Caenorhabditis elegans: one gene and its partner. The protein of the gene in region 1 purifies or fractionates together with the protein of each later gene. This does not show direct contact. Each region holds a gene or a part of one and is shown on either strand. Other genes may lie near its edges.

Region 1 (5,659 bases):
GCACAGTTCTTCACATAAATTTGACGTTGAAGCTTAGCGTTTGTGAATTTAGAGTCAAGGCAATGTTGTGGATTAGAGGAATATGCAGCTGAAGCAAGAGCAAGCATTTGAGTTCTGGCAAATGCATCTGTGTAACTGGCTAGCACTGAAAATGTATGATGTGAGAGAGTCAGTGCCAAATTATTCGGAACTTACTAGAAGCTGGGAGGACAAGACCATAGGCGGTGTAAACCACGCAGAGAAGCGTGAAGAGTTTCAGCATTTCGGGGAGAATGAAGAAGACAAACTGACAATGTCAGATAAGTGGGACGAGTTTTTGTACTTGCCGTGATAAGGAAGTATTATGTGAAGAATGATTAGGAGGTTTAGAGACAGCTCTTTTCTCTTATCAGACGGAAAGGAAAACCGGCATGCTGCACACATTTCGTTGGAGAGATCACGAACGTGTGATGGAAAGTTTAAGCGGTTGTGAGTTCCGTTACCAAATTGATCTTAAAATTTTTTGAAATAAGAATTTTTAATGACGACACATTTTGTTTGCATAGTTAAAGTTTATATGGACATAAAACAATTGAGATCAAAGTGATAGTGATGAATTTCAACCCTTTTTATTCTTCTTACGGTCGATGAACTGCATAAAGAATTTGAAGAACATTTGTTAGAAGTTGGTCTCGGAGACGTAAATTGTACGTGGTATTTTCGTATGGCTTCAGTTTTTCAAGTACGTCCTTATTTCTCACCCACCATTTTCCCATATTTACATCTCGATAGTGCCTGAAATAAAACACTGTGATGGCTCAACATATGTAGTTTATAAGTGTTAGTATTTGGTGTTCGCACAGCCTACATAGATTTACGAATTGCTCATTTTCTCTTTTTAGTTAATTTGTTCAGACCTCAACCAAAACTATGAAAACGTCTTGTACTTCAACACATAGGTTCTGAATAAAACCTTTTTATTCAGAAACTACATTTTATTATTAGTACTTATCAAAAGGGAATGTTCCCGTAACTCCAACCACACCTATAGAGTGGATAATGTCCCCATTCTTCCATCCTCCACAGTCCGCGATTTAGGTCTTATCACGGATTTTAAATTAAACTTTGAACCTCATATTATAAAAATTAGCTGCCTAGCCATGCTAAGGGCTAAGCAAATTCTCAAAGCGTTCTCCTCTAACTCCCATAAGTTTTATAGCCACTTATTTAAAACATACGTTGCCCCCATCATAAACTATTGCTCTGAGATCTACTCCCCTTCCCCCAACTCCTCACTCTCTGCCATACTTGAAAAACCGCTTAGGACCTTCACCAAACGCGTCCTGCAAAGGTGCAACGTTAAATTCACCTCTTACGAAAACAGACTGTGCATCATGGAACTATTCTCCACCAGACACACAAGAATTAAAGCTCAAATGAAACTATTATATAGACTTCTTACCGGTTCTACTCATTTCTCTAAATTAACTCAGTTTGTCAAGTTCTCTAATTCCAATAGGAGACCCATGATTCTGGTTAGGAAAGACACATGCACCTCTCATTTCTTTGCCAAATCCATTCCTATTTGGAACAATCTTGTCAAAAATATACCGGTATTTCTCTCCCCCTATCAGTTTTCAAACTTTCTCGATCTCAATATTCCCCGGTATTAACTTTTCTCCGCTGGTTCTCTTTGACTTCTAATTGATCTCTTCTACCACATTACCCTCTCTCTCCTTTCCCGTCCCAAACTCGAGACGTACTCTTTCTGGGTTAGTCTCGTTTTACCGTTTTATTTAACACTCAAAATTCAATTGTACAGTTGTAAATTGCATTAGTTATGTTAAATAAATCAAATCAAATTCAATGTTCCTAACCGTTCTCTTAAAGGAGCACTAACGTACTATTTTAAATTTATAGATTTAAAATGTGCTCGAATAAACGAATTTCGTAATGAAACTTCTCAGAATAATTTTAAAACTTTTTTACGGCGTTGCAAAATCCAAAATTAAGCTAATTTTCAAATTTATTCTAAACTTATTCTAAACTAAGTTAGTATTAATGAAAATATTGAAAAAATTTGTTTTAATACCTTATATATCCAATTTTCGGATCAAGAATCAAAGTCTGATAATTCCCATTATACTCTCCGACGTCATGAATCATCATTTGTAATACTTTTTGATTATTCACTATCATTTTTGAGAAGCAATGTTTTCCATCTGTACAGTTGAGCCATGGTTGAGTTGTAAGTTCCCATTTCCTTGACGGCATTTCTTGCATTATCTGAAAACAGAATGAGCGATTTCATTTACAAAAATCTGTACTCTTTCAATACCTGTACTGGATTAATAAACTTTTCAGGCAGCTTTTCATATTTGAATATCCAACGCTGTGGGAACATAACTCCTCCATACTTCTCACTGACTGAATCTTGTAAAAAATTTCGAATAGTTGTCTTGCTATCAGTCAAAATGATTCTCTCGTCAATGTCGGAAAAGATTGTCCAATTGGCTGATAATTGGTTTCGCAAGTGACAGTCCTGAAAATATCTGAATTTTCTTGAATTTTAGGACTGTATTTCCCCCATTAATCACACTAGCATTATTTTGAGTTTACAACATCTTGGTTGGCTTTGGAGTTCAAAAAAAGTGTAAAATTGGTATGTTGAATAATTTGTTTATATTTAAACAGTTGAACTGATCTTATAGAAAAATACGGTAGTTGCTTACCGCAATTGCTAGATACTGTTGAGAGACTGCATCAAAGTAGATTGAAGGAATATGAATAATTTCAACTTCATCTCGAAATGCCATATAGTGTTGAAGAACTGACATATCATACAATTCGATTTCTCGGATGTAAAAGTAAAACTTGGTGACACCCTGAAAAGTAAAAATTTGACAAAGCGAGACAAAAATTTTATGCCTGAAATAAACATAATCAGTTTTGAAAAAAAATCGACTCGGTACATGTACGAGGTAAATGAATGCCTCTTTAATAGCAGGTAAAATGGTTGTTTTAAAAACTTTAACGTAAAAACTTAATATAAATAAACTAAGCTATCTATGCAAAATTTTAAGCAAACCTGTAATTTATAATGCTCGATCATTTCTACCAGATGCATCCATTTCGGTTCTTGTCCAAATAAAGGAGCCGAACAATGAGTCAACATTCTTTTGTAACTTGCTGAAAAATAATCGAATTACACATTTTGTATTGATGAAATATTTCAAACCATTCCATCGAGTAACAATCATCTGAAATTGTTCCAGCACTACTCCATTTGGTCCATCTGTTATTGCAACTTTATGAGTTTCTGAAGATTTTCGATCACAAATCACAACAAATAACGGATAAATAAAGCTTTTCATTGGCTTTTCATGTTCTTTTCCGTTTTTGTCGAAATATCGGCAGTACACTGTATAACTGTAATTGAGTATCGTTTGCTAAATAATTATATGCAATAATTAATTATTACCCAATAGGTTTTAATGCAGCAACAGACACTGATATTTGGGTTTCAGATTCATATGCTCCAATCAACATTGGTGGGTAGGCATCTTTATATTTTTGAATATGAGTTAAATAAATTGAAGAAATACCAAAATTACTAGAAACGAAATCATAGTTGAACACTTCAATTGAATAAAGCACTGATAAAATGACAAAAAATAAAAGAATGAAGAAAATATAAAGCTTCGACTGAATATCACAATTCATTTTCATTTTTCAGAAATCAAAATGATACAGACAATATTTGAAATGTATAAATTGATATTTGTTCAAGGCAATGTGCTCTCCTATTTGTCACATTATTTGTTAGAACAGGTGACGGCTATCCGCCAGCGTCCCTCTTGTGCGATCCTGTCTATGATTTTATTAATGTATTTGATAAAAATTACTTTTAAAAATTTGTAATTGCTTTTGCAATTTGCATTATTTTCTCACAAGACTTAATGGAACTAGGAAAAAATATCAGACAATTTTGATAATACATCAAAAATTTATTTAAGAAATGTGAACACATTTTATAGTCAAGTAAAAACATTTAAGCGTTAATTTAAAAAGTAATATTCAATCCTCTTTCTTCTTCTTTCCATGCTTTTGTTTCGGTTTTCTATTAATTCTCATCGGGAACAGACGGTAGAGGAAATTAGGAAGAAGAAGATTTTTTCGGAAAAACCAAATAAATTCCATGAAGATTGCGATCACAAAACACCCTCCGATCAAGTAGTAGGTGGCTTAAAAACATATTTAAAAAGGTTACATTTTTGATAACTTACTTTTTTCAGAATATGTGTCGCTTTTGCTATCGAAATGTCTCAAGACTGCCTTCACTTTTCTGAGTTGTCTGAGCATTTGATGGTGTAAGTATAGCTTCGAACTATTAGTTATCATCACAATTGGCCCACTTCTACGACAGGAAAACTCTACATGTGACTGGAATAAGAGGAACTCCAAATTTGTCATGTTTGATATTTGAAGAGCAGGGCCTGAAAATAGTTTTCAAAATAAATTATTAGATTTTTAAACTTACATTTTGTAGATTTTATTTTCTTGAGAAACGGAAATGATAACTTCGTAATTGATGGGTTATTGGCAATTAGGAGTTGACCGTTTATTGTATGAGCATAGGATAATTCCTTAATCCGCTCGGAAAGATTTCCTGAAAAACATCTTATTGATTGATACAATACGAATTGAAATACCACTGGTCTCAGAAAGATATACATCTCCTTGAAACGTTTCGCACCCAGAATACCGATCCTTGACTGCTTCAGATACAAAACCTCCTCGACATTCTCCTTCTACAATAATATATTTTGGAACAAAGTGTTGGTTTATTGTTAGAAAACGCTTTTACAGTCTCTATCTTGTGAAAAAGAACTTACGATAACACTTCACATTTATTCCATCAGAAATAATTTTAACTTTTTCATGTCCCCAACGCTCTTTGATTTGATCTAATTGATCAGTGCACATGTATTGGTTATGCTCGAAAATATGTTGACGAGAACATTTTGGAAATGATTTGAGCAATCCGCGAACATATTGGGCTTTGGTTCGATTGAAAATAAAACATCCTTCAATTACAAACTTCATTTCAGCTGGATTATTTTCTCTAAATGTTCCTGTGAAATGCATATCCCCATACACATGACGGCAATATTGATATTCATTTGAACCTTTGATAGGATAACGAAAATGACATTCTGCAATGAAATTATAAAAAAAATTGGTAGTGTATTTTTAGAAATTACCTTCATCGTTCTGAATGACACACATCTCGGGATTACATGCTTTTTTCAGTTCTAGAAGTTTTCTCCTATCACCAGTAAAAGTTGTGAAACTCAATCGGGAATTTCCTCGGATATATAACTTTGGACGATCTGAAAATATATTCTTAGGAAATGATGTATGAATGCTCAATAATGAACTAAATAGGAGCTGAACATACTTTATTGTATTTTCTCGCTATATTCTTACTTCTTATAAAAGTAGCAAAAAAACTGAGCAAAACTTCAAAGCCAATAAAACATACGCTTAGCAGGAACATTCTCCAAATTTGGATCATGAGCCAAATTCCAAAACCGAAGACCAACCAGTGAAGGGTTTTTTGTGAAATTGAAAAGACAGTCTAAAAATAAAATATGAATGAAATAACTGATGACTAACT
Region 2 (7,802 bases), on another chromosome or scaffold:
AAACGATTGATAAAATGATGAATGATAAATAATAACATTGGCTATTTGGTCAAAACAAGCCGGGCAATTTTTTATGACACTTTTCGACGCAATTGAGAACTGCCTAACCATGTTTCACAATACAACTATTTCATTTAACTCATTCTTTTTTCAAGAACTACTTTTTGTATGTTTACTTTGAAGAATAAAATGTATTTATCTGCTCGAAAAAACAAATACCAAAAAATAAAATCTATACCCGTTTCAATTCTAAAACTTCTATTATTCTTCTTCAATCTAAATGCTGCAATGGTTCTTCTTCTCTTTGAATTTCCGGTCGAAGTCTTTCTTTTTTCCGACGCTTCATTAAAAGCTCTTCAGGATGCCAAAATCTGAAATCTTTTATTGATTCTATCATTCAAATAGATTTTATTTTGAAAACTTACTTCAAATATACGGTGACTCCTATTGAAATTATCAAGATAATCACACATAAGAAGAGCAAGAAAATGAGAACATTGACAAATTTATGAGGTTCATTGTCATAATTCTTGTATTTCTTGCGATATCGAGGAGTTGTTGTGGGAACGGTTGTCGTTGAGATTACTCTGAAAATTTTTTCAGTTTTTAGAAACTTTTTTTGGCTTCGCTGAATTTTCAAACCAATCAACTCACTTATTACTAATTTTTTCGGTAGATTTGACACCTTCTAGTTCATCCATCGTATCCAAAATACTCTTTTTCAATGTAGTTGTCATCATTGTTTTCTCAGATTTAGTTGTTGATTCAGTTGAAGTATAAACTCTTTCCATTATTCCTTTTTGTGCATTTTCCACAAATGTCATCCATTGTTTAGTTTCTTCAGTTGGATCCAGGCATACACTTTCATTTGTTCCTGGAAGAGCTTCCAACATCCAAACTGTTCCATGACCATTTAAATCACAATATAAATCATCAATATCATCTATCTGAAAAATTTATTTTAAAACCACTCGAAATCAGATTTTGAACAATAAATATTGATTAACATAAAATAATTGAAAAAATTTGATTTGTGGCATTTTTGAAACAGTAAAAACTTTTCTCAGTTTTTTTTCAGAAAGTAAATTAAAATGGTACATAAATCTTCAAATGAAAAGTTTGCTTTTAGTAATCCCATTCTCAGTAAGAAAACAATTAAGATAAAAACTAATGTATAATAATTTTAGTTTATTACTGGCAAAAACCAATTGCCTTCAATAATTCGAAATAATGACGATCAGCTCAAAACTTGAGCATGGCACGTTCACTTTTAACTTTTTCGAAAAAGTAATAAAAATGTCCCTCACCATGAATGTATTATTGACAAAGCTTCAATATTTTTAAATTTAACATTAGGAGAAACAAAATTCAACATTACACATTTGAGTGCATAACAATTTGGCGATCAGGAATAAATTTCAAAATTTACTACTATATTTGTAAAACTTATGAAACAGAAATTAATTTTTAAACTTTTTTGCTCTGAAACTATGTGACTATGTTCTTACTTTTGCTCGATTAATTCTTCTCATCAACCATCTCTGAAAATCCGATGGTGACTCACAATCACAGGCAAATCTGCTGAAATTCCCACCCAATCGAATCTGAATTTCTCTTTTATTATTATCAACCAAACTGAAATGGAAAGTTTCGTTTTGTAACCCAATGATTCCACCAAAAAATGACTGTTTTGTCTTATCATGATGGAACATAGATAAACTGGTTTCTGGTCAAATGTCCTTTCCTTTTGAAGTGACTAACCTTTTTTAAACCATCCAAATGATTTAAGGATGTTGATGAAAGTTGATCCAATGGGTTATCAGATAAGTAGAGATGAGTTAAAGATGGTAATTTTGTAATGGTTTCTGGAATTGAGGTGATGGCAGAAGATGTTATTTCGAGATGGGTCAAATTGGCAAGATCAGTGAGCTTTTCCTGAAATAATTTTTTTGTGGACATTATTTGCGAAATATGGAAATTGATTAGAATTTAACTAAATTAGATGATGCTCTAAATTAGGTGAAATTTTCGGACAACACAATGACAGCAGGATTAAAATTTCAAATATCATACTGCATAAGTAGGCATGTCGAAACAGTAAAAAATTGTTTACATAAATACATCCAATTGCATAAAATAATTGAAAAATACATAGTTCTATATTTGAAAAACCTTAGGAACACAAAACCAGTTAGTTAAGTTTCCCTCAATTTTCAAAATTAACCTCCGGATTCAAAAAATAACTCACCATTTCCACTGAAGTCATTTTGCTATTTGTGATCTTCAAAGCTCGCAAGTTGCTCAGTTCTTTCAATTTCTCGGTCTAAAAGTCTTGATGTCTAATGAATTCTTCCAAAGAAAAAAAAACCTCAAAAATCTTCCAATCAGTCTGATTCATATGTAATTGTGTCAATGGGGATGGAAATTTTCCGAGCTTATCCCATCGAAGTTTGTCGCAAACCATAATGTTTTGAGATGTCTGAAATAATGTTCCGGGTTAACCAAAAAAGTTTCAAATTAGTTCCGTTTCTCTTCTATTGTGCCTTATCATCCAAGAAAAAACCAATTGGAAAGTGTAAAGTTAGCGAAACCGCGCGGGCGTACCTGACAACAAAGATAGATCCATAGTGATAGGATGAGTGATAATGGGAAATGTGGAGACATAGATTTGGTAACACAAAATGAAAAAAAAAATGAAAAAAGGAAACAGTGATCAAGAGAAAATTGTCAGTATAAAAGGAATGGGTTTAACATGGAAAGGCATCATCCAATCTTGATCATCTCAAAAATGGAGGACAACAAAATCAAGGTATTCACAAATTGTTTGGTTTAGTTTAAAGTTCTAAGAGGCTTTAGAATTTAATTTTAAAAACCATTCATGACTCTTATTTTTCGAAAATTATACAATTTTTCAGGCCTACCGTCTCATCGGGTATGCCGCAGTCTCCCTCTCAGCTGTCGGAATTCTTTCCGTTTGCATTACTCTTCCACTCGTTTATTCTTATGTGAGCAACCTCCGCTCTCAAATGCACTCTGAGCTCCGTCACTGCCGTGACACCGTTAACACGGTATATGCTACCGCTGTCGCTATGCCAGCTCTTCCCGGGAGAGGGAACCGTACCGCGCGTCAAGCTGGATACGATGTTGCCGTTCAAGACGCCCCAGCCCAGGAGCACAATAGCTGCGACGGATGCTGCTTGCCAGGAGCCGCTGGATCAGTCGGAGCTGCCGGACGCCCAGGAACTCCAGGACGCCCAGGTGCACCAGGAGCCCCAGGACACCCAGGAAAGCCACCACAGTCACCATGTGAACCATTAACCCCACCACCATGCCCAGCTTGCCCACCAGGGCCACCAGGAGCTCCAGGAGCACCAGGAAAGCCAGGATCCGAGGGACCACCAGGACCACCAGGGCACGATGGACCAAATGGAGGACCAGGACAACCAGGACAACCAGGACCACACGGACCAAACGGACACCCAGGAAAGCCAGGATCCCAAGGACCACCAGGACCACCAGGACACTCCGACGAGCCAAAGCCAGGACAACCAGGACAGCCAGGACGTGCTGGACCACGTGGACCACGTGGAGTTGCTGGAATCAAGGGCAAGGATGGAGCTCCAGGATCCCCAGGACAACCAGGACCACGTGGAGGACCAGGAGAGCCAGGACAAGATGGAGCTCCAGGACAACCAGGACTTCCAGGATCCGATGGAACTCCAGGAGAGAAGGGAATCTGTCCAAAATACTGTGCTATCGATGGAGGAGTCTTCTTCGAGGACGGATCCAGACGCTAGATTTTATTTCGTCTCTCCCATTTTTCATAAAGAGTTTAGCATTCCAATATTGTTTTTTTAGTTCGAAAATACACAAAATGAGTTTTTCAAAAAGCTAGAATTGATGAAATATCTAATTTCCCAGTTTCCAAAAATCATACCCTCACAATAGAGACATCCGCAGATCTCAAGCATTTGCACGTCGGCGGGCATTCGAAACGACATTCACATTCTTTTTTCTGACAACATTCACAATCTGCTTCACACATCTGAAAAAAATTACTGTTTCAAAGTTACTATGTATTTGAAATTTTTTTTAGCCTACCTTGAAACCTTTTTTAATTATCAGTTCAATTTTCTCGATTAATTTTTTGAAGAAAATGTTTGATAGCATAATTAAAGTCTGTTGGGTATATAATTACTGTTGTTTGATATCAGGCTTTTTCTCAGCACGGTTTTATTAAACTATACATCTTAGTCTCTTTTAAATCGAATTATATTGGTAGTACGCCACCAATTGTTTTTTCAATTAAAATGAAACATTTATAAAATAACTTACATTAGAATATTTGCAGAGCAGTTGATTCCTTGAATGAGCTAACGTGAGCAGCATTTTCTTTTCTGGTTTCAATATATTGAGACATTCAATTGTCTGAAGGTCTCCAATTGATATGTTCTAAAAAATATCAAACGTAATACCAAAAAATTAGAAATTGTGTAAAAACTTCAAAAACAAACTTTAGCAGAAGAATCCATTAACCATTTATGATTACAGTGACATAGTAGTGGATTCTCGGATAAAAACAATTTGACTTGAAATTTGGAACCAGCAAAACTTGATGACTTCACTTCCTTTAGGCTGTTGTTTCTGCAAGAATAATGTTCGGAAAATACTTTTTCAATACAAAACCAACTTTAAATCCAGCAAAATCAAATTTGTCAAGTGCTCAAATGCATGATCATGTAAATACGTCAACTTGTTATTCGACAAATCCACGTGTTTCAACTCTGCAGGCAATACATTCACAGCTCCAGTCGTCAAACCACCAACAAATTCCATTCGATTTCCAGCCAAATCAAGGCGTTTCAGATTTCTAGCACTTGCTGGAACATAGTGAATTGTGGAGACGAGGTTATGCCGAATTGATAAGTCGGTCAGGTTTTCAGGAAATCTGAAAATTTATTTTTTAAAACAAATAAATGTTTTTAAAACCTTCTGAAATCGATATTCGTTATCTTATTGTTGTTCATTGTGATAACTTTTAACTTTGTCAGGGATATCAACGTATTTGTCAGAAATCCAATATCATTGTCACTTACATCCAAGTGAATCAAGTTTCTGAAAATTTGAATATTCATTTTTAACTTCATTTTTAAGAATAATTACTGTAATGATCTTAATGAATATGGTTCAATTCTCAATCGATTCCCAGAAAGATCCAATGTCATCAAGTTGGGAACATGGGCGAATATCTCTCGAGGAAAATCGGTAATTTTTGCATTTTTAACGATAAGGGAATAGAGTTGACCAAGACCCTGAACATCAATACAATTACAAATGTTTTCTCTGAAAATTCTAACCGCAAAAAGTCCTTCTGGAACAGTATCAATTAAGCATCTATCTAATTCGAGACGATCTAGATTTCGAAACCCTTGAAATAATGAATGAGGTGGAGTTGATACTTTTGGAGAATGATAAGGGCATTTTATAGTAAGAGTTCGGACGAGATCAGGACGTGCAAGTTGGAGAGTAGTCACATTCAGCTGAAAACGTTATGTAGTTAAACGGAGGAGTAAACGACTTGAATTGTCTTAATAAATTTAAAATGAACCCAAAAGACTGAATTTCATAACAAAACTACTCAAACATTGCTTTTTAAGTCCAGTGTAAAAATTCTTATCGAAACTAAATTAAATTACTTCCCTTGCTGTTCTTTAAAATAACATGTCCATGTTCTCTGTAATGTACTGTTATACCAAACATGCATTGATGCAGTGACTAATTGATAATTGCGATGGCTAGTCACTTTTGCTATTGCCCCCTACACATACATGTCCATTCAATTACCTGTTCCCACTTGCAAATGAGATGTACTTGTTGGTTCTGCTCGTTATCCGCATAGCATTGACATCTTGTCGGACACGGAAATTGGGAAGGTGATGACGTGGCAGTTGGGGCGATTTGAAGAGAAGAAATGAGAAAAAGATGAAGAAGCGGGAGGACGGACATATACCATGAAGAATGAAGATGAAGATCAAACGGGCTTCAGTTGAGCTGAATCATGAAAAATTTTGGAAATATTGTGGAAACGGAAGGAAGTAGGAATAGGTTGAAGCAAGTTATGAACTAATAAACGTAAAACTATTGACTGCAGATTTAATAAATTGAAAGTGAATCTCACATTTGTCTTTCGATAGTCCAGTGAACTTACTATTTTTACAAAAATAATGGTACCGCTATAACATGAACAAATCTGTTGATGTAGAAAATTTTTAAAATCAACATAAGTTTTTTTTTAATTTTGAAACTGTATGTTTTGTTCAAAAGAGTCTGGATCAAACATTTCTGAGCCAAAAAAGGCAAAAAAGAATCGGTCTGAAGATTTCGAAATTTGTCGAGAAAATTGATACTTTTGACAACTTGCAGTGCATGAATTATTTTTTAACCTAGCATCATAAATAACTCAAACTTTTCGTGATCCTTTAACGTTGTTTTTAATAAAGACATCGTCATCTAAATATTATGATAACTTCTTTAAGACTTTAAAAGGCTTCGTGCCAAGGTTTTCATCAATTTTTAAGTCAGAATTACGCAACTCAAAACTGAGCTAACATCAGTTTCTAAGTTTATACTTAGTTTATAAACTTAGATCTTAAAAGCAAAATAGGTGGTTTCAAACTCTTCTCATAACTTGAACCAATTGCATTTTACAGTAACTTTCAAATTAGTTGTTTAAAAATTTACATGGCTTTTATGTCATTTCTGTTATTATGAATCACATGATTTATAATGTCAAAATGTTTGAGAAAGACCTCACATAAAGTAAATTCATTGAGGCCAAAACTTGAATAAAAACGTCAAATCTATTCACATCTAAACAAAACAATATGAGCACAATGAATTGCTCCAAAAAATGGGACAGAAATCGGCGAAAAGGGACAAAAGGAGCGTGGTGACTTGCAATTTGTGTAGAAAATGGAGGGCAAGTTGGGGCGGGCTCTTCTTCTTCCAAAATACATATTCATTCATCTTTTTTTGCCCATTTTTGGTGCGACAAATTCCTAGAAGCTAGCGTGAACCAAAAGGAATGTCCCGACGGAATCAGTGTCAGAGATGGGAAAGACGACACAAATCTCGGGAAGGAGGGAAGAATGATTGCCCTGAAAGAGAAGGCGGAGGGTAGATCTTCAATTGAGATTTCATATTTCTATAGGAAAATAGTATAGAAGATGAAGAAACGGAGTATCAATGAACTAGTCTGTGGGAAAAAGGGGGCGGAATCTGATTTATGAGAGAGAGTTATTCAATGTATTCCCACTGAATTATGAGTTGAGAAGAGAGAGAGAGTATAAATTGAATTTAAATTGAAAAATGGATTGGAAGAAGCCACAGAAAAAACGACTGGAAGTTTTCGAATTTTTGTGAAGAATAGAAAATCAAAACGAACTATACGACGGCTTCTTCCTGAACAACAACAACAAAAACTTCATGTTCTATTTTTTCTCACTGATTCCGGTTTGAGCCTTTTCCAAACACAATGAGAGGAAAATCGTGATATTTTCAAAATTTGGGCAATTTTTTTGAGTAATTAATTGTTTTATTAAAAGCTAGAAGTCAGGGTTTTAGATGTCGTTTGGTAAATGTGCCAAGTGACAACCTAAGGCCTGAATTTTCAAAATAGTTTTGTTTGAACACATTCACTATTTGAACGTCAAAAATCTTTGATTTATTTTTGGGTTTCGGTTATTGAAATATTTGGTCATCTGGCACAAATCATCTTCTTTGGAAGTAAAATTATTTTTCTA

Evidence for each region. Proteins that work in one complex are often made in the same cells at the same time.
Region 2: the proteins of gtnt-24 (region 1) and lron-14 fractionate together in Caenorhabditis elegans (co-fractionation; one large-scale study listed by BioGRID). This does not show direct contact.

What each region holds. Positions count from the first base shown.
Region 1 is NC_003283.11:10,750,440-10,756,098, forward strand, and holds gtnt-24 (Glycosyltransferase family 92 protein), read right to left. Parts: upstream 3,712-5,659; 5' UTR 3,709-3,711; coding exon 3,461-3,708; intron 3,409-3,460; coding exon 3,218-3,408; intron 3,169-3,217; coding exon 3,068-3,168; intron 2,865-3,067; coding exon 2,712-2,864; intron 2,522-2,711; coding exon 2,318-2,521; intron 2,266-2,317; coding exon 2,072-2,265; intron 775-2,071; coding exon 618-774; 3' UTR 516-617; downstream 1-515. Other genes in the region: F28H7.3 (Fungal lipase-type domain-containing protein), read right to left, coding at 1-145, 196-262; irld-6 (Receptor L-domain domain-containing protein), read right to left, coding at 4,057-4,223, 4,266-4,475, 4,520-4,648, 4,692-4,790, 4,875-5,195, 5,244-5,372, 5,525-5,620.
Region 2 is NC_003282.8:9,560,600-9,568,401, forward strand, and holds lron-14 (eLRR (extracellular Leucine-Rich Repeat) ONly), read right to left. Parts: upstream 6,007-7,802; coding exon 5,845-6,006; intron 5,541-5,844; coding exon 5,358-5,540; intron 5,313-5,357; coding exon 5,164-5,312; intron 5,116-5,163; coding exon 4,990-5,115; intron 4,949-4,989; coding exon 4,691-4,948; intron 4,645-4,690; coding exon 4,515-4,644; intron 4,453-4,514; coding exon 4,336-4,452; intron 4,046-4,335; coding exon 3,938-4,045; intron 3,843-3,937; exon of another isoform or gene 3,798-3,842; coding exon of another isoform or gene 2,916-3,797; intron 2,810-2,915; coding exon of another isoform or gene 2,789-2,809; exon of another isoform or gene 2,780-2,788; intron 2,480-2,779; coding exon 2,369-2,479; intron 2,324-2,368; coding exon 2,249-2,323; intron 2,053-2,248; exon of another isoform or gene 2,032-2,052; intron 1,942-2,031; exon of another isoform or gene 1,936-1,941; coding exon 1,762-1,935; intron 1,605-1,761; coding exon 1,509-1,604; intron 1,412-1,508; exon of another isoform or gene 1,391-1,411; intron 948-1,390; coding exon 655-947; intron 588-654; coding exon 426-587; intron 372-425; and 3 more. Other genes in the region: col-122 (Nematode cuticle collagen N-terminal domain-containing protein), read left to right, coding at 2,789-2,809, 2,916-3,797.